Danio rerio: one gene and its partner. The protein of the gene in region 1 interacts with the protein of each later gene in a pairwise test. Links are inferred from orthologs where the notes say so. Each region holds a gene or a part of one and is shown in the gene's direction. Other genes may lie near its edges.

What was found.
Region 2: the proteins of mybpc3 (region 1) and actc2 interact in a two-hybrid assay, tested with the Homo sapiens proteins (2 studies listed by IntAct). The link is inferred for Danio rerio from reciprocal best matches to the Homo sapiens genes MYBPC3 and ACTC1.

The regions. Positions count from the first base shown.
Region 1 is NC_133182.1:31,885,196-31,895,673, forward strand, and holds the start of mybpc3 (myosin-binding protein C, cardiac-type), read left to right. Parts: upstream 1-108; 5' UTR 109-151; coding exon 152-176; intron 177-6,135; coding exon 6,136-6,405; intron 6,406-7,744; coding exon 7,745-7,915; intron 7,916-9,602; coding exon 9,603-9,689; intron 9,690-9,762; coding exon 9,763-9,911; intron 9,912-10,023; coding exon 10,024-10,141; intron 10,142-10,478. UniProt on the Homo sapiens protein: Thick filament-associated protein located in the crossbridge region of vertebrate striated muscle a bands. In vitro it binds MHC, F-actin and native thin filaments, and modifies the activity of actin-activated myosin ATPase.
Region 2 is NC_133195.1:10,141,924-10,153,080, reverse strand, and holds the start of actc2 (actin, alpha, cardiac muscle 2), read left to right. Parts: upstream 1-5,575; 5' UTR 5,576-5,618; intron 5,619-6,187; 5' UTR 6,188-6,203; coding exon 6,204-6,332; intron 6,333-8,378; coding exon 8,379-8,618; intron 8,619-8,850; coding exon 8,851-8,935; intron 8,936-11,157. UniProt on the Homo sapiens protein: Actins are highly conserved proteins that are involved in various types of cell motility and are ubiquitously expressed in all eukaryotic cells.

The DNA.
Region 1 (10,478 bases):
GTGACAGATCATCGGGGTGGGCAGGATGATTTGGGGCATGTTCCATGGGACATTTGGGGGTGGGGGTGTGGGGTGTCTATTAAAAGAGAAGTGGTGCTGTTGGTGTCCACAATGCCTGTTTGTTGGAACCCAATAGGGACACTCAACCAGGATGCCAGAGCCAACTAAAAAAATAGGTATGCCAGTGTTTATTTTGTAGATTCTATCTGACAAACACATGTATAATAGATTGGTTTTGTATTGTTGGTTGAGTAAATAGTAACATTTCTGTTCTAAACTCTGACCTTATCACAACTTTAAAAGCACTTTTCAATTTGTACTTTATTTTTATACGACTTCAGCTCCTGTGTCTTTGGTTTTTGGTGTAATAATAAGAAATACTAATTTAATATATAGGTAAAAATTAGCAGTATCAGTTTGATCTATGAGTATTTTCATAACATTGTCTGGATGTTCCTTTACACTGTACTACATTCTGCAGCTGTTGTTTCTAAGCCAACTGTATATATGAAGCATCTGTGCATTGTTTTTCTCGCACAAATTGCACTGTAAACAAAGAAACATATTAACAACAGACCTGTTGCATATTTTACATTTAGCAACTAAAGTAAACAGCTAATTTTGTGTGATTACAAGCCACTAACATTAAATCAAACCCTATTCTTAGCACTTTATTTTACAGTCCTGTTTTGCATATAAACATTACATACTGCATACTTATACTAGTTATTACAAAACTGGGTACTATAACTCGGCACTATTTCTAAACCTACCCCTGATTCCATGGTACCTTGCATGACCCACTAATTTACGTACCTTTAAGTACACAGTAAGACATATACTGTAAATTATAGTGCAACCTTATATCTAATATGTAATTAATATTATTAGGTGTTTAATTGTAACATGCAACTACTTAAACTGAAAGTATCCTTAGTATAAACTGCTAAATCGTATCTAAGCTTACGTGATAGAATAATGGCCGTGGGCTGAAGGGCTTTTTTCCAAAAGTGCAGAGAAAATAACCCTGCCTACGCAGGAATTAAAAGATTGCAATAATGTGATGCCACCTGTTTCGTGACAGCCGACTGTGGCGATATTCGCTAAGACCAAGAGCATGCTAACAATGCTGTTGCATCACTTTTCGGCATTAAGCAATGAAGTTTAGTGGTAGTAACCAAATCCATGTAGTCATTTTAGCTTCACACTTTCTCTTCCCTATTGGTGGATTTCAGAGGCTCTAAACCAGCGGTTCTAAACCAGGGGCCAAATAGAGGGCCTCTGCAAGCTTCCAGAGGAACCCCAAGAAGTCTAAAAATGATTTAAAACCAATGAAGTCACCATGACATACTTGTTTATTTTCATGGCTACCAAAATACCAGTGGTTCATATACCATCATATAGGGTATATATGAACAAAGCAGGTCCAATAAGTTGAGAATGATTGCTATAGTCTAGACTTAAGGCATCTTTACACCTCTCAAAGATAGTTTAATTTGATTTAACAGATGGCAGATTTTGTTTTAAATACTCTTGAGTGTTAGACACACCAGGATGTCAATATTTGGACGCCAACCATCAGCATCTAATGTAACCTTTGTGACGGACATAAACATGTCACCTTCATGAGAAAGTTTCCCATCCCATTGACGATCTCCACTGACCGCTGGCTGACACGTTATGACTGTGAAAATTATTACCTTTCATGCCTCCAGTTCAAAGCATATTTACCACATATTCATCATTAGTTGACTGTCACTGCTTGCATCTATCCAGACATTAGTAGTGTGGAACAAAGGCAATGTAGATACCAGCGGTTCTGAAATGGCAAAAGAGTGACCAGTGCTTGATAACAACAACAAAAATAGATCCTAGCTAATCCATCTAGCAGCTACCTGTGGCTGTGTCGACGTGGACCGCAGTTCTCAATGGAGAGCACATGCACTCTATTTTTAAGCGCAGAGGCTTGGCTTGCTTTATGCTTGAACCATTTGCATCGATGTGATTGAAGATGTGTGACTCCAACTACAAGAAAGAGCAATGAATAAGCAGTTAATAATTTAAGGCATGTGTGTAACAATAGATATGAAGATCAAGTTCCAGCAACGCCTTCAAGTGTTAAAAAGAAAAACAGTGTACTAAATATTTCTTAAGTTGATATCACATGCTAGAAAAACTATGTTTTACGTTTTTCAGTATGACTCGAGTCACAAATATTTGTTACATTTTTACAGAATTTGCATTTAAAAAGGAATAGCATTGAGTAATATGTCACACTAATCATGAAAAAGTACCCCCAAAAAAGTACTCAACTGACTTAACACGTCTGGCGAAATTCTTAAGTGCTCATACAACAGACACTTAACTTTGTGAATTTATGATGGACAATAAAGCAAGGCAACTGGAGATGTAGGTCACATGACAGAAGCAAAATGTCAGATGTAGTCCATCAAAATTTCATTTGAATTACACACATTTAAAATAATGATTAGAACATACTATTTTGATGGTTGCAAACCAAGTTACAAACTACATACCTACTATTTGTGATTTAAGACACAGGGCTCTATTTTGACGGTGCATGCGCAGAGCGCAAAACGCAGGGCGCAAATGCTTTCAGGGCGTGTCAGAACACATTTTTGCTAATTTAAGGACGGGAAAACCTGCTTTGCGCCATGGCACATGGTCTAAAAGGGTTGAGTTTATTTTCTTAATGAGTTATAGGTGTGTTTTGAGAATAAACCAATTAGAGTCTCATCTCCCATTCCCTTTAAGAGCCAGCTGCATCGCGCCAAGAGCGCATTCGCTATTTACAGGACGCAAAGTAAGTCTAAGTGGAAAAAATGAGCATTTCACTAGCAAACAGTTAACAGTTAACAGTTTTTTAACAGAAAACTGTTAAACAGAGCATCTACTGCGTGAGAATAAGAGATAATGGAACTACTTTCACATTCACTCTTGGATAGGGAAACCTTTACGCACAGACATCAATTAGTCTATAAATAAATAATTGCGTTTGTTAAGCACAAATATTCGTTTCAAAACTATTTCTAAATTCAGTTATAATTTCCAGCAAACGAATAAATAAACAATAATAACAAAATGTGCTCAAAAACCTGAGTTATATCCTAAAACACATGCTGTGCCCCATATGGTCTAAAACCTGCAGGTGGGCAAATCTAAGCTTGTTTTTAATAAAACAAATATAAATTTGGAAATAATAAATAATACTGCTAATAATAATAACATTATACAAAAGCAAACTGTTATGAATGAACTGAAAAAGCCTCCCGAGATGAAGAAGACATAAAAGCAGTGATTTTTCATATTTATGTAGGCTAGAAAATAATATGTTTTGTAATATTTTAATCCTTTATATTTATGTCCTATATCTATTTTTATTATATCCTATATATATCCTTAATATTTAAATTTTTTCATATGTAAAGATATTTGCCTATTGCTCTCTTGTGCGTATTAAGTAGTGCGTAAGCGAGGCGCAACTGTGCGTCGGAGTTTAGATCGGGTTTGTTTTGGTCTAATGAAAAACCTATTATAGTTTCTCAAAATAGCAAAGCGCCAGCGGTCCGCCTCAGAACGCCTCCCTTTTTAGACCAGAACGCCTATGGGCGCACAAATGAGCGCTAATGCATTTGCTGCCTCAAAACGACTCTTGCGCCAAGCTGAAACTACCAAAAGACTATTGCGCCACGCCTTGCGCCACACTGCGCCGGGTGTATGATAGGGCCCACAATTACAAGCACCACACTGGTTACTAGATCAACTAAAGCTTGACATAGATACTTATACAGCTGACATACACTCTCCTATTCCACTTGCTTTTACAAGTCAGCATCCCTTTTATAAGCCTTAGATCAGTAAGTAAGCTTCAATTTAATGTGTTTTCACAGAGAGCCACAAAGTCAGTCCAGAACCTTCACGTTTACTGTTCCTCACCGCTATAGGTTGTTTTCACATAACGTTATCAATGACGTGCTAAATTCAGATGGAAGGCAGGTAGTGAATGTTCTATGTAGGAATCGCTATCAGAACATTTAAATGTTTCTGGTTTATGTTGTTTCTAATTGTTTAAATCGGCCAAAATAAGAAATGCAGAACGCCTTTTATATAGACTTCCAAAGGATTTTGCTTATAAACGAAGGGGGGACAAGAAACTGTATCTGATAAAAGTCAGATACAAACACCACCACACAAAATCCAAGAGAACCCTGCCATGAAATCGTTGTAATAAAATCTTTGTCTAGTTTTGCAATAATTTATCTCTTTACTAGCATTTTGATGGAATAAACAACCGTAATGTTAACGTCTATTTGCAGCAGCGATGAATGTTTGTTCGTGGTAAGTTCATTGACAAAACTAGACGGTTATTATTGTGGAGCACTTTTCCCCCTTACAAAAATAAATAGTAATGTAGAGTATGCGTCTGGGCTTTTGTATGCTTTCATCGGTTGTTTCCTGATGTCTGGAAGATATCCACTTGGGGAAAACTTATCGTAATTTATAATAAACATGTTTTTGAACTACATAGTTAAGTGTATAAGGTGTACGGCTCTTTGTTAATGAATGCTACCGAATACTGTAGCACAGTAAACGGTAATAAATACTGTAATGTTAGTGTAAACTGTGGTGCATTGTGATGGTGTATAAATATAGAAACTGAAGCCTATTAAATAATTTGTTTGTTACTACAGATGTGTCGTACCACAACAACAATATAATTACTAAGACAGTTCAATACAAGTAATTATCAATATATAGACCATTTCAATGTGGTGATGCCATGAACATTTCCTGCTTGTTGTCAAACTGTTTTAATAACTGTAACAAGAGGAAATTCTATTACATCTTAACATTAAAACAGCTGTCCTAACAATGTTTATCAATATGTGGATCATTTAGGATTCTCAGAACCCATGGAAATTAAAAATGTAAAACAAATACGTTAGGACTATTGTTATTGTTTACATCCCTCAAAATGGTCTGTAGTATGCTTCCAACCGCTATAGTATTAACACTAGTGTTTTTTCATGTAACCTAATAGCTCATACAGTATGTACCGCCTCGATGGCAGGCCAATATATTTAAGTTCAGTAGAAAACTCGGCCCGCTTCATGATATAAGGACCATACCCATTTTATGTGGTTATTATCTATTTATATCTCCTTTGAAATATGGTATAAATCGCAAAAATATGGACTTTCCTCATGTCTCCCATTCAGTTTTTTACTTCCTGCCCTTCATTTGAAAACAAAATATTCATCTACTTGTTATCTGAGACATCTCACTTGATGGTACAAAATCTTAAGGCATATGTACAGTAAGTGTTCACGCTCAAGAGCTTAGTTAAATTTGTATAGATACAAAACAAACAAATGATAAATGACTCAATATCAAATCAAGAATAAAGTCACAAACACACAAATGAAGATCTGTTATGTGTTTCTGCCGTCATTTAATTGTGCTTGGCAACATCATAACTATTACAAGAAAAAAACATGGATGCTTTAGCATTATGGTTGCATGTTTTGACATCATATCCTGTTTTGGAGGCGTTTAGATGTCTTTGTTCATATCTCAGTAGAGCTGCACCAGAGTGTGCATGGTTTGGTGAAAACAAACTCTGGTGTGATCATTCTTTTAGTGCGATGTGAAGTGTGAATGCTGCCATTTGCATGAACAAACACTATTTATACACAAATACACCTATTTTTTTATTTTTATAAACAGCACACATATAGTTAACATTTAATTTGCACATAATGTAACCATACAAACGATGTTTTATATAATAATATACTGTATATGTGTTTGTCAAATGTGTTGATTCTTATTTTTAACATTTCTATCTAAATTTTTGTTCTTTCACTGTCAATTTGTTGCACTGTGGAAAATTCTGTTATGAAAACAAATCCCTCGTGTGTGTAAACACACCTGGCAATAAAACTTTTGATTCTGATTCTGATTGCATATCAATGCACATCAAACAAGCAGACTGAGACCTCTGGACTTGAAATGTTTGGTGCACACTAAGGTTTAAATGTCATATATAAATGATCTTGAGATTAAGGTTTGGTAAATTCATGCTTTGCTTTTGAACCTCCCTCACTCCTTCAGTCTCAGCTTTCAGCAAGAAACCAAAGTCCCAGACTGCTGAGATTGGGGCAAGAGTCATATTTGAAGCTGAAACTGAGAAGCCAGGTGTAAAAGTGAAATGGCAGCGAGAATCCAAGGACATCTTACCCAGTCACAAATACACCATCTCAGCAGAGGACAATAAGCATTCTCTCACTATAAATAATATCATCCAGGAGGATGCAGTGGGATATGCTGTTATTGCTGGGATGTCAAAGGTCAAATTTGAATTAAAGATAAAAGAATCAGAAGGTGGGTGATTTTTGGATGGCGACGTATTCCTGCATCTACTTCACCTTCTCCCCACCATTGGTTTGTTTGTAAAAGTCACAGAGCACCATAACCAGTTCTCCTTACATTTTTTACGTCTTACTTTACCTTTTAGTCACAAAGGTTTGTTTTTTCAAGCACCTTTCTCAGAGCATGTTATCACTATTTATAAGTTTTTTTTCAGCTTGCTGTTTTCTCAGAAACTTACTAGAACTTTGAACATTTGCCTTTTAGTGTCAATTCATAGAGCTTTTGTTCCTGCATTGTGCAAAATAAATTAAATACATGATTAGCTAGCCTGATATATTCAGATTAGGTGGTCGCACTAAAATATAGCTGTCAAACTAAACAAATTGAACACAATTATACTTGTACAAAAAGACATCTGTTTAAGAAGAAAAAAAGCTTTTTAACTTTTGCTACTTGTTTAATTTACTTTTTTAAAATGAGTTAAAAAGCAATACTTAAGGGGGTATTACGTTCATTCAACTTAAATTTGTAAAAACAATGATGTTAACTTAATCCAGTGTTTCCCAACCCTGTTCCTGGGGGCACACTAACAGTACATCCCTTATTTGACCCATTCATTTCAGGTGTTGGAGTCTCTTCTAATGTTCTGATGAGATAATTCAAATGTGTTTGATTAGGGAGAGGTTGAAAATGTCTACTTTTGGTGTGCGTTCAGGAACAGGGTTGGGAAACAGACTCGATCAAGTTGTTTTGACATGAAGGAATTGCACAGTTTTTACAGTGAGATTTACTTAATTAAATTTGGTCAATTGTTCATATAATCCATTGCTGCTGTAGACATAATTCGGTATATTGTTCGCTGCTTGGAGAGCTTCAAGCATCTACCAATTCAGCATAGGTCTATATTTATACATTCAGTATTTAGAGCTATTTTTCAAAGCACAACAGAGGATGAAAGCAAGACTGAGTCCTAATTTGTATGGTCATTAGATTTGCAAAGAGAGCAATATCAAAGCAGAAAAGGATCCAAGAGAAAACCATTACAAGCACAATCATGTTCATTAATAGACTGAAAATGTCTTTGAGGGTATTTCATGTGAAAAATGTAAGCCTCTGAATTTTGTAACAAAGTTCAACTTTAAGTTTAAATCACTATCCTCTAGAGCCCCTAAAGGGTTTGATTTTTACTTGGGTCCAGATAGTTTTTAAATAAAGTATTAGTAATGTATGGCTACAGGGACTTGTTTTATTATTCATCAGCTGTCAAAAGTGAAACTTCTCTGAGCCACATGACTGATTGTTTATCGCATGTTGTCGGATAGTCATTTTAAGGATTTTTGCACTTTTGCAGTAAAGGGAGTGGAAAAAGCCAAATCCCCGGATCCTGCAGCAGTGGAACATAAACCTGAAGAATCTAAACCTGAAGAATCCAAACCTGAGCCCAAAGAGCCTCCACCAGCCCCAACTGAAAACTCAGCACCAGAAAGCACTGGACCGCCATCGGATGGAGTCGCACCTGAAGGTGGATACAAAAACACACACAGAGTCAAAGTTTACTCATGTTCTCACTTGTGCAAACATATCCACATCTTTGATAACATTGGATGTATTCACACCTGTCTTGTTTAGTTTGGTTGGATCAAACTCAAGTTTGTTTCACTTTGGTGTGAAACTTTATTCGGCTTTTCTGTGTTTGGTAACCAGTCTACCGTTATAACCGAAATGTGTTACAACCAACCATGTTGCACTCTATTTGTGCACATCTACATTTGAAACAGAGAATATACTGCACTGTAAAACCCAAAAAGTTAAGGTAACTCAAACTATTTGATAAAAACCGATTGCAATAAACCATTTAAACCATCTAAAAATTCAAAAACTAATCCAAATGAGTACTGTGAACTCACTCTATTCAAGTAAAAGAAGCAATTTGAGCACAGTAAAACCCAATAAATGAAGAGAACTCAAACCAACTGAGTACTGTAAAACCCAATAAATTAAGACGACTTAAACCGTTTGAGGAAACCGATTGCTACAAACCTTTTGAGTTAAAAAAAGATAATCTATAAGTACTGTAAACTTACTCCATTTAAGTGAAGTAATGAGGTATTTAATTAAGTCAAAACCTTCAAAACAGTTCAAAACTCTTTTCAGTAGAGTAGAGATAACTTTCAGTCAATGTTGGGTTAACTACACTATATGATAAAGCTGACTGTTTTTACAGTGTGTATAAGAGCAAAAGCTGCAATATTTGAATGGGTCCTCAAAGCTACAGTTAGAGTCTGTCATAGGCAGTTCTTTTGGACAGTGCAGATGATAGTTGCACAGCAAATACAAAGCCAAAAAGCAAATTTCATCTAAATAGATGGCTGACTTTAGCATGTGTACTTTTGTTTACAATTTCTGGTTCATTTGTAAAAATATTAGTGTGAAAGCAAACCACACCAAATTTAGAATCAAAGATCTGGTGTTAAAAAATTCTGGACCAAAGGAAGGGAACTAATAACTTTCCTGAAGTCAAAACACCCTTTATTAGCTTTCTTAACTACTGTTTTCTTCTTGATGTAAATTTTCTTGCATTTTTTGTTGTTGTTGTTGTTTTTATTCATAAGAATGCGCGCACACATATTTAATCTAAAAAGCATTCTGAAAATATATATATATATATATATATATATATATATATATATATATATATATATATATATATATATATATATATATATATATATATATATATATATATATATATATATATATATATATATATATATATATATATATATATATATATATATATATATATATATATATATATATATGTGTGTGTGTGTGTGTGTTTGTGTGTGTGTATGAATATATATATATATATATATATAACTTAGAAATTATTTTGCCTCTAAACAAAAGGGGAAAAAATAATGATGCGAGTATAGAGTATATTAATCAACTGGCTGTAGTTCACTTAATAACATCTGTTGTCGTTAAAAAGAAGCATTTCTGAATTCCATTAGCAGCTTTATGCCCCTGAAAGTCAGGGACTAAGGCTAAATGTATGAATAATTATTGAATGAATGAATTATTGGTTAAATATTTTGCTTTGATCTAGTTATGTATGTTCTGAATGTGTCACTATACTTTATATTTGACATCGCAAAGTTTTAAATTCTCAGATGAATTTCAAACCTGTTTTGCTATTTGTTTTTAAGCTCTGCCTGAGAGTCATCAGCCTGACACAAGGCAGGACCTTACAGGACTCTTCACTGAGAAACCTCACAGCGGGGAGGTGAATGTTGGTGAGTGACAGTCCATCTAGAAACTGAAAGTGAATACAAATGGAAAAACTTACAATCTTTTCTTCCCATTTAGGTGAAAACATTATTTTCATTGCTCGGGTGTGTGGTGAGTCTCTGCTGAAGAAGCCCACGGTGAAATGGTTCAAAGGAAAGTGGATGGATCTGGCCAGCAAGTCAGGAAAGCACCTGCAGCTCAAAGAGCACTATGACCGCAACACTAAGGTCTGACCACAGGAAAACAGATTTAAACTAAACTATTATATTTCCTCAATATCTTCAGAACGTGAAATCAAAAATAAGTGACAAACTTTTTTCTAATTTTTTTTGTATTCAGGTGTACACATTTGAGATGCATATCATTGCAGCTAAAGCCAACTTTGCCGGAGCCTATCGCTGTGAGGTGTCATCTAGAGACAAGTTTGACAGCTGTAATTTTGACCTCATAGTACATGGTAAGACTCAGATCATAGGCCTGACAAAATGTATACAAGAATATGCATGTTTGATATATAGCCATACAGAATGTGTTCATTTACTAGTAAAGCAAAATTAGATCTGAAAGAGAGTCTTGTTTTCTGTTAAATAATTCAATCAAAACCAAATAACTTCCAAATGGAAAAGTGTTTTTATATATTGCAGTGTTGTAAACGTCTATCTATCTATCTATCTATCTATCTATCTATCTATCTATCTATCTATCTATCTATCTATCTATCTATCTATCTATCTATCTATCTATCTATCTATCTATCTATCTATCTATCTATCTATCTATCTATCTATCTATCT
Region 2 (11,157 bases), on another chromosome or scaffold:
ACACATGCGTGCACTTGACTCAGAAGTATAAATCAGCCTTTAGCAATGCCCTAGAACACCCAAGCAACACCTTAGCAACCGCCTAGAAACCAATCAAAACACCCTATCAACGACTTAAAACACCTTAGCAACTGCCTAACAACTAATCATAACACCCTAGCAACACCTTAGCAACCACCTAGCAATGCCTTAGCAACCACCCACAACACCCCGCCAACCACCTAGCAACATCTTAGGAACCACATCCGAGCAACTGCATAACAACAACTTGCAACTACCAAGCAATACCTTAACAACTACCCGAAACACCCTAGCAACCGTCTAGTAATGCCTGAGCAACCACCAAGCAATCACTCAGAACACCCTAGCAATCGCCTAGCAACACCTAAGCAACCACTTAGCAACAATAAACATGCCAATCCATACTAGAAACCAAAGAGCTTAGAATGACCAAGAGGCGACACTCTAGTGTAATTTGGGAAACAGCCACTAGAGGGCGTCGGCCCTTATGGAATGAAAACTCCAATAGAACAACAGCATATTATAAGTCTGTAAAATAAACTATTAAAAGTGCTGATGATTATGAAAACAAATGTTGTATTGTCGTCTTTCAGGTTGTATCTCGGCTTTAATGCGCTTTTAAAATAAATTAATAAAAAACAAAGCAGCTGCTTGCCATCGCGACAGTAATGAGATCCTATCGACGGCCGATCACTTTCACTCCAAAATGGCAGAATCCGGGGCTGTTGCTGGGCGCTGCTGTTGCAATGGAACGTTCTATTGAGTGTCGCCTCTTGGTCATTCTAAGCTCTTTGCTAGAAACATGCTAGCCTATATGATCTGTCTATGGCAGCTGTTTCAAACTTCTTAAAAACTACTTCAATGATTTAAACCAATCTCAATCCTGAAGGTCCAGTGCCCTGCAGGGTTTAGCTCCAGCTTGCCTCAACACACCTGCCTGGGTGTTTCAAGTATAGTAAGACCTTGATTAGCTTGTTCAGGTGTGTTTGATTAAGGTTGGAGCAAAAATCTGGAGGACACCGGCCCTCCAGGAACAACTTTCAGATGAGGCTTTCTCAAGCCACCATAAAGTTTGTCTACCAAATTTACTTAGTTTCTTTTGTAATACATTTTCATGCCTATTATTGTCACTGCAGTTATTTTATGTCTAATTCTACAAATTCTGTTAAATACTATTGAGACAGTGTTCACAGCTATAGAATGCTAATTAAAAACATGCTGGTGAAAAGACCGTCCAATTTTGACAGGGAACACTAACGTAAGGAGAGTGATGTAAGCACAACAGGAGGGTTAAAAATATGTGTCCGAAAAAAAAAATCTCCATCTAACAGCACAAAAAACAACAATTTGACAAGAGGGCTAATCATTTTGCCTTCAACTGTGCAGTATATACACAAACATTGACATATTTGCCCACAAGCGGTTGAAATAAATATCAAGGTTATTTCTGCATCAGCCAAATCCCCCTTAACACTGAAACAAGTTCAAATAGAGCAAACCCTAAGCCCCTGCCGGCTGACAGATGCTCAGACAGAGAATGTTGGGGATTATTCAAAAAGCAGCACGTTACATCAGATGAATTGAACATTATGAGAGGAAACCATCATTACTAGGAGACACAATGTCGTGCAAATGAACGTTTCAGTGGAATCGCAGCACAGCACACACTTTCTTTTGACCTCCATAAATCCAGAAGTGAAGCGAAATGCTGATACAGGAGTGATGAGGTGAAACCATAATACAACTCAGCATTTTTTGGCTGAATACTTACAGTGCACACCGGTGCTGGTGAGTGATGTGGCTTCTACAATCCCTATTTTAACAATCCTCTATTCGTCATAATAACTCTGCTAACCTAAGGGTGGAGGGTCTTTGACATGGATTTTCAAGTGTGCTGATTTGGAACTTCAGGTGTTATTTAAAGCGCTCCTAAAAAGGCAGCCAGTCAGAATCAGAGCGGCTCACTTTGAATAAAATGCAACTTAATCATTAGAGTTTAGATGGGTGATGATTACTCTAAAGCTTATAATAATAATAATAATAATAATAATTCATTCATTTTCTTTTCAGCTTAGTCCCTTTATTAATCTGGGGTTGCCAATGAATCGCAATGAATATGTTTTACACAGCAGATGTCCTTCCAACTGGGAAACACCCAGACCTTACGTCAAACAGAACTTAAAGTTTTGATATCAAATCATTATTCACATGTGACAAGTTTTTATTTATTTATATTGTTTGATATCAAGGTGTCTGCTATGGCAGTGGTTTTTAAACTTTTTTTCATCAAGTACCACCTCAGAGACAATTGTCTCTCTAAGTATTACCATAATGACCAGTATTGAAATCCAGTAGCAATGCCGGCCTAATTAAGCAGCTACAGCTCTGCACAGTTCAAAAACGAAACAGATTAATTCTTATTATTATGAATGTTTATTATTGTCAGCCACTTGCATTATAAATAGTTTGAAAATTAACACTGCGCTGTGCTTACAGGTAAAACACACAGTATATAAAAAAAACCCATAAAATTTATGGTAAAAAACTGGCAGCTCTGGTTGCCAGAAATCTATCATTAAAATAGGATAGAGATGTTTTTCAGTTTACGGTATATGTAAGTGAAACAGAAATTTTACGGTAAAAAACTGACAGCTGTGGTTGCCAGAAATCTATCGTTAAAAATACGGTAGAGATGTTCTTCAGTTTACGGTACAATTAAAAAAAGTTATTTAAAAAATGTTCTTAAAAAGTAAAAAGAAATCTGCTGTACTTAAATGTAAAGTATTATCATAAAGTATCCTATTTATCAAAACCTTTTATAAATATAAGCTATATGTTATCATATTCATATATAAACTCTAAATAAATAAATTTTAAAATATGTTGCATGTATATATAACATATTTGCATTTCTTTGAAATCTAAACATTAACTTGTATTTCAGATACATGAATTGGATTTACATATTTAAATTAGAAATAAGATCTGCCTACTGCACGTTATAGTAGGCTATTAGTTTCAGAAAAGCAAGTGATTATATCTGTCAACATTGGGATATAAAAATACAAGCCCAACAACCATTACAAATATAGGGAGGAAATTAGCTTTAAACAGAAAATTTTAAATAAAATAAAAGGTTTAGCTTATTAAAATCAATTTATTGCACGCGCCAAAGGGTTAAAAGTGTTTTTTGTTTTTTTTTACTATAATTATTACTCCGTGTACCACTTGAAGGAAGCCTGTGTACCACTGGTGGTACACATACCACAGTTTGAGAACCAATAGGGGATGAAAGACTTAATAGGGTCTGAATAGGGCATTTGTACATTTATATTGTCAGATCACATACTGATATGATATTTGACTTTAGATAGATAGATAGATAGATAGATAGATAGATAGATAGATAGATAGATAGATAGATAGATAGATAGATAGATAGATAGATAGATAGATAGATAGATAGATGGTGAGGCAGTGGCGCAGTAGGTAGTGCTGTCGCCTCTCAGCAAGAAGGACGCTGGTTCGAACCTCGGCTCAGTTGGTGTTTCTGTGTGGAGTTTGCATGTTCTCCCTGCCTTTGCGTGGGTTTCCTCCGGGTGCTCCGGTTTCCCCCACAGTCCAAAGACATGCAGTACAGGTTAATTGGGTAGGCTAAATTGTCTGTAGTGTGTGTGTGAATGTGTGTGTGGATGTTTCCCAGAGATGGGTTGCAGCTGTAAAAACTTGCTGGATAAGTTGGCGGTTCATTCCACTGTGGCGACCCCGGATATATAAAGGGACTAAGCCGACAAGAAAATGAATTTAGATAGATAGATAGATAGTTCAAGCCACAGCGACCGATGTGGCATCCTCAGATTAAAAAGGGACTAAGCTGAAAAGAAATTCAATAAATGTACTGCATTTTCTCCAACTTTAGTGTATATTATACCACAATACACTAGTAAAACTAAAGTACACAACAGTACCTACAGTGTATCACTTCACTATTGTTACAGTATTCTGAACCAAGTGCTGTAAATTCTGAGTACTATAATATATACAGTATAACAAACTGTATGGCTTAAAAACAGTATACTATATAACCTACACATTACTATAGTATTATTTTACATACAATTCTCTTTTTAACCCTTTATACCCTTAGAATTCATCTTCATTTCGAAATTAAAAAGACAACATTTAGTGTAAATGGTGGATTATTTGTTGTTTAAAGAGCGTGTTGTATGATTTATATACAGTTAAAGTCAGAATGATTAGCCCCCCTGTTTATTTTGTGCCCAATTTCAGTGTGTATGACAAACATAATTCATATTTTTTTTATTAGCTCATTTCTAATAACAGATTTATTTTATCTTTGCCATGATGACAGTAAATTATATTTGACTAGATATTTTTCAAGACACTTCTATACAGCTTAAAGTGACATTTTAAGGTTTAAAGGTTAATTAGGTTTACTAGGCAGGTTTGGGTAAGTAGGCAAGTTTTTGTATAATGATGGTTTGTTCTGTAGACCTGTGGTTCTCAAACTGTGGTACGTGTACCACAAGTGGTATGTGGGCTTCATTAGATACGCTGAGGAATCAAATATGTCATATGTAGATACATATATTAAAAATGTATAAAAAATGATTATATATGAATATGATGACATGTAGCCTATATTTCTAAGTGTTATACTTCACATTTAAGTACAGTTTTTTTTTTAACTTTAAGAATAGTAACCTAACATTTTTTTACTTTTAAAAGCACAATTTAAATTAAAATTTGACTTTTTTTTTTTTTTTTTTTTTTACGTATAAGCACATTACAGTGTTAATGTTTAAACAATTTATAATGTTTAAAGTGGCTGACAATAATACTCTTAATAATAAAAAATAATCCGACTCATTGTTGAACTGTACAGAGCTGTAGCTGCTTCACTGTGCCCACTACGCTACTTTATTTCAATAATGCTTATTATTTTGGTACTTGAAGGGTTTTCTGAGGTGGTACTTGATGAAAAAATTTAAGAACCACTGCTGTTGACTATAAAATATAGCTTAAAGAGGCTGATAATTTGGAACTTAAAATGTTTTTTTTTTTTTTTTATCAAAACTGCTTTTATTCTAGCCGAAATAAAACAAATAAGAATTTCTCCAGAAGAAAAAAAATATTATCAGACATACTGTGAAAATTCCCTTGCTCTGTTAAACATCAATTGGGATATATTCAAAAAAGAAAAGGGGCTGATAATTCGGACTTCAAATGTATATATAGGCTATGACATGCAGAGTTTACGGGATGTCATTTCTATGGTATTTCAGTGTGCTCCGCGTTGATTAATAATGACATCACTCGCCCCCTGCGATGCCTTTCCGCGTCTTTCTCCAAGTCTCCATACATGGGCGCAGGACGAAAAGCCTAGCGCGGGTCTCGGGCTCTCCTCTCTGCGCCCTTCCATTCATGGCCACTCCGCTCTCAATGGCGCTCGGGCTACCAAATATGGAGAGGGAAGTCCAGCGACCCAGGGCCACTCAGTGTCTATAAATTGGCCGTGACTCAAGGCGCTTTCTACCATTCACTCTCCAAGGGAACCAGCTCCTGGTGCTGATCTGGTAAGTACAGCTAAAGCTTTCAGAAATGTCAGACTTCATTTAATGGGATGATCTTCTGAATGCTAGGATTTAAACTAGGTCAGTTATATGGCTGGAATTACAATGCAAGTAATTGACTTGAGCTAAACAAACCTTTCAGAGGCTTAGAGTTGCCAGTTAAGAATACTTTGCTGACTTTGAATTTTAGTGAAGTTTTAATTTTCTTACTTTTAAAACCTTGTTATGAGGAGAAGTCAATCAAGGACAAGCATGTCAGCAGCATGAATTACTAAACTGCTCTCTTAAAAATAAAGACCCAATAAGATTTTTTATTTTTTATTTTTTTTTGCAGCAATACAATAGTATGATTAATTTTGTTACACAGTCAAATAATTATTCATATATCAGCAAAATAATAATATCCAATGAAGACATTTTATGGACATTAAATCATAGAGTCATTAATGACAATTGTTTTAGATCAATATGATTTATAATGAAGTGAAAACACAACCCTGGCTGGAATGCAAACAAACTGTCATGTATGTTCACAGAATTTTCTAACAGTTGTGTGTCTGATCTTCACCCAGAACCCCAGCTGACACCATGTGTGATGACGATGAGACCACTGCTCTTGTGTGTGACAATGGCTCTGGCCTGGTGAAGGCTGGCTTTGCTGGAGATGATGCTCCTCGTGCTGTCTTTCCCTCCATTGTTGGTCGTCCTCGCCACCAGGTACAATGTTTATTTCTTAATGCAAGATAGCAACATTATACTTTCATTAAACTTAGTCTCACTTAGCCAGAGCTTCACACATACAAGGTCTGGACTCTTTTCCATTCCCTATTGGTTATGGATCACTTCATGTAAAGAAATACATCACAATGTGTTTTGTTCTGCATCATTTTTATGAACATATACATTGAAACCTTGAGACTTCTTATAGAAAAAAAATGTATGTAGGAAACTTGAAAGTAATTTACAGAGTGTAAACCATTAGCAACACATGCAGGTTCATTCATTCATTTTCTTGTCAGCTTAGTGTCTTTATTATTCCGAGGTGGCCACAGCAGAATGAACCGCCAACTTATTCAGCACATTTTTGCGCAGCGGATGCCCTTCCAGCCGCAACCCATCTCTGGGAAACATTCACACATACACACTCATACACTACGGACAATTTAGCCTACCCAATTCACCTGTACCGCATGTCTTTGGACTGTGGGGGTACCCGGAGAAAACCCACGCGAACGCAGGGAGAAAAACACAGCAAAACTAACTGACTAGTACAAAAAAAACATAATCCTTATTTCCTTTAATTTTTTCTTGTTTCCTCAACTTTTGAAAATATCAGTTGCACTGACCTAAAATTTTTTGTCAGTATTACAAAAAAAACATTTTGTTGGGGTAACATAAGGTTATTTGTTTTTTGGAGAGGTCAGCTACGCTATAACAAAACCATTTAAACTGTGCCAAGTGAAAATGTTTTTTTTTTTTTTACAAAACGAATGCCTGAAGTTGAGTGAACAGAAAAAAAAAAACTCAATCTATATTTCCTTTCACTTTTTCTTGCTTACTTGACTTTTGAAAACATCAGTTGCACTGATCTAAAATGTCTTAAATGAAAAGTATTACATTATGGGGAAAAAAAAAAACAGAGACAAATGTTAACAAAACATTTATTAGAAACAAGACAGGAGGCAAAAAAACAATGACGGTAAACAAGACAAGGATCAAAACATGGCAGGACAAACAGGGAAAATGCTTTATAATGACTCACAGGGAAAAAAAAACAAGACTCAGCCAAGAGTCTGTAAATGGTGTCCTAATAAGTAGTCCATCATGAACTTCCAGCTGTGTATGTGATCAGGAAACTGGTTCCTTTATTTGAATCATAGTTTGAGCATTTGACTCGTTTTTGAAATCTTACAGGATTTTTAGTTGTTCATGAAAATTAAATATCAAATACATTTGATTTCTCGTTTGAGAATGAATTTTGATTTATTATTTGATAGTTTGAGCAGTTTTGTAGTTTTGAAAGTTAGATTTATTATTTGATCTTTTTAGGCAGTTTAATTTTCTTTTCTTTCTTTTTTTTTTTTTTTTTTTTTACATTCGCTAAGCATTGTTGTAACCTACCAGGTTAATTAGGTTAATAGGCAAGTTATGTTAATTAGGCAGATCAAACATGGTTTGTTCTGCAACAAAAAAAAATATTTTTTTTTGAGAAGTCTCATAATATTGACCTTAATTTAAACATGCCTTAAACATACATTTGACTTTCATTTAAAAATAAAAAATATATATTTATTCCAGCTAAACTAAAAGAAACAAAACTTTCTCCAAAATAAATATATACAGTTGAAGTCAGAATTATTAGCCCCCCTTTGAATTTTAAATACTTTTTTTTTCTTTTTAAAATATTTCTCAAATGATGTTTAACAGAGCAAGGAATTTTTCACAGTATAAGAATATAAGACTTGGGAAATATTTGATAAAGAATAAAAACACTCCAGGAGGTTGATCATAATACATGTTAATGCGTTTTTTTAGTTATATGGATTTTTCTTCCATATGAGGGGTTTGCCATAATGCCAGTTTTAAGCTGTCAGCTAGTGCTGAGACTACAATGAATTTAGTTTAACAGTAGAACACATAGCCAAGGTCAAGTGATTGATTCCCTTCTATATACCATTAGTTGTATTGAATAAATGTTGTTGCCAAATGCATAATGCAAATACTGTATGTACTGAACTTTTGACATCATCTTGTCCTGAACAGGGTGTGATGGTAGGTATGGGACAGAAAGACTCTTACGTGGGTGATGAGGCCCAGAGCAAGAGAGGCATCCTGACCTTGAAGTACCCGATTGAGCACGGCATTATCACCAACTGGGATGATATGGAGAAGATCTGGCACCATACCTTCTACAATGAGCTGCGTGTGGCCCCTGAGGAACACCCTACGCTGCTCACAGAGGCTCCACTTAACCCTAAAGCCAACAGAGAGAAAATGACACAGGTAATCCTGCTTGAAAATCTTTAAAATGTGCATGTGTAACCCCGACGGTCTTACACCACCCAACCCGCTTCGAGCTGATATCGAACAGGCGACCTTCTGCATGAGGGTCTGTTGCTCTACCAAGGAGGCTAAAGATCATAGCCTCTAGCATCTAGCAACAACTCTACAAACTTAAAATGATGCAGAAATACTTAAATGACTTAACCTGTTGTTTGTGTTGTTTAATTTGCAGATCATGTTTGAGACCTTTAATGTTCCGGCCATGTATGTGGCTATCCAGGCTGTGCTTTCACTGTATGCTTCTGGCCGTACCACTGGTGAGTGTTTGTGAAGACATGAACTAAAATACCACATTCCTTATAAGATTGCACAGGACCAACACAATCTCATGACAAGTAACCATATTAAATGTAGTTAATTTAGTGACAAATTTAAATGAAATCTCATTAGTTTCGTTTGACCATGCCTCGATGACACCTATGTTAGGGGTAGGCTTTCATGCTGTTCTAAAAATCATACAAATTTCTTACAATCATCTTTAACCTGCGAAAATGGAGTGCTTTGATACTGATAATGACCCTGCTTTAGTTTGGAAATGCTTGCTTTATAAAATAACATTTATTTTAAAAGAAGCATATGTATAAATGACACCTAAGTTCCAAGATTGTGTATGGAACGACATAACTTCTTCAGTCGGATCAAATGACTTCGACAAAGTTTGGGAGGAAGATGTTTAGATTGTGTAGCCAGCATGATTTGAGATCTATATACATAAACATAGCTAATTCACTTCTGTCCCAGAACAGTTTTCAAGCAGCACTCAATATACTCTGGCTTCAAGCCAAAAATGTAAACTTAGAGCCGTCCTCTGTTACAGTATGCCAAATATGCATATATGCCTTCAATTTGATGAAATTCAATTTTAAACTTGTAAATTATTATCAGTGGTGTAAAGTAACTAATTACAAATACTCAAGGAATTGTAATTTATTAAGTAGTTTTAAAAATGTGTACTTTTACTTTCCCTTGAGTATATTTTTAGTGCTGTGTCTGTACTTTTACAGAATTATTTTCCTTCAATCTGCAGTCACTATTTCATTATTACTTGTCTATGAGAATTAGCAAAGTCAGTCCTGTAATTAAAGTCCAATCAGAGCGCACATAGAAGATAAATCACCTCAGAATGTACTACCTCAAGTCAAGGGCGCTTTATAAATGCAGCAAACCTTTTGGAAGCAGTAAAAGTGTCCAAGAAGATGCCCAAAATCTTTACATGCATTGATCCAGAGACTGGTCACTGATGAGAAGATGATGGATGTTTACTGTATGTTGACGAAATGGCCTTAAACACCCAACAGGCACAAGTTTGACGTTGTACCCTAACATCATGGGAATGTTGCATTTTTTTGGAAATAAAAATAGGGTTGACTTCAGAACTCAACATCAGGCCAAAGTCAATGCCCAACCTAAAACCAACCAAATATCAACATCTGATGATGTTATAGCTTTACGTTATGTAGACGTTACCACTATAAATTCTATTAGACGTTGGATTTTGAATGCTATACCTGATGAATAAATGTCAGTATTTAATGTCAATATGTTGCTGGTTTAAGATGTTGGATCGACTTTGGATTTTGGTCACTGACCTAAAATCAACCAAATATCAATGTGGTTTAATGACATTATTGGACGTCAAAATAACATTGTCCTTAGATGCTGACTAGACATCAAATTTTGGTCACCCGACAGAACTTAAATCTAAACTACTGTAATATTAACATCTTATGACGTTGTGTGCCTCCTGCTGGGCAATAACTAAACACAATACAGAATATTAAGTTTACACACATGCACAAATTACATGTAAATGCATCAGCTTTTTACAGCGAAATACTCACTACTCATTATTACTCTTGAGTATTTTTTGAAAAAGGCTACTTTTACTCTACTTGCACTACATTTTTAGGCAAGTAAAGTGCTTTTACTTAAGTATGATTTTTCAGTACTCTTTCCACTATTGATTATCACATATGCTGCAGCCGTTGTACCATCCCTGGGACAAGTTCTCGAACATCCCTCTACTTCTCAATATTTCATTCTTGTTAGAGTTAGAGCTGTAAGCAGACCCAGATTGGCTAATCGGGAGGACCAGGAGAATTCCCGGAGGGCCGGTCCATTTTTTGGCCTAGAGGGCCGGTGTCCCTAGCTCCAGAATCTGTTGCTCTCAGCAGTTACACTATTTAAATATAATTTATTTATTTACTTGACCACATCCTTCTTATTTATTATTTTACAGAAGCTCTGCTCTTTTTATCTATTTTCTCGTAGCCTCGTGAGCAAGATGCAGCCTGCAGGTTAATGATGATATAACAAGATAAGTCACTATTCAATGTACAGCTGTTGTGGTACAGTGGTTAGCATGTTAGGTTATGACATGGCCAGCCAGGGTTTGGTCCAGGTCTATAAAGATTTTTTTTTTTTCATTTTTATTGTTAAGACATATAATACTGTAAGGGTTGTTGAACATTTGAAGTTT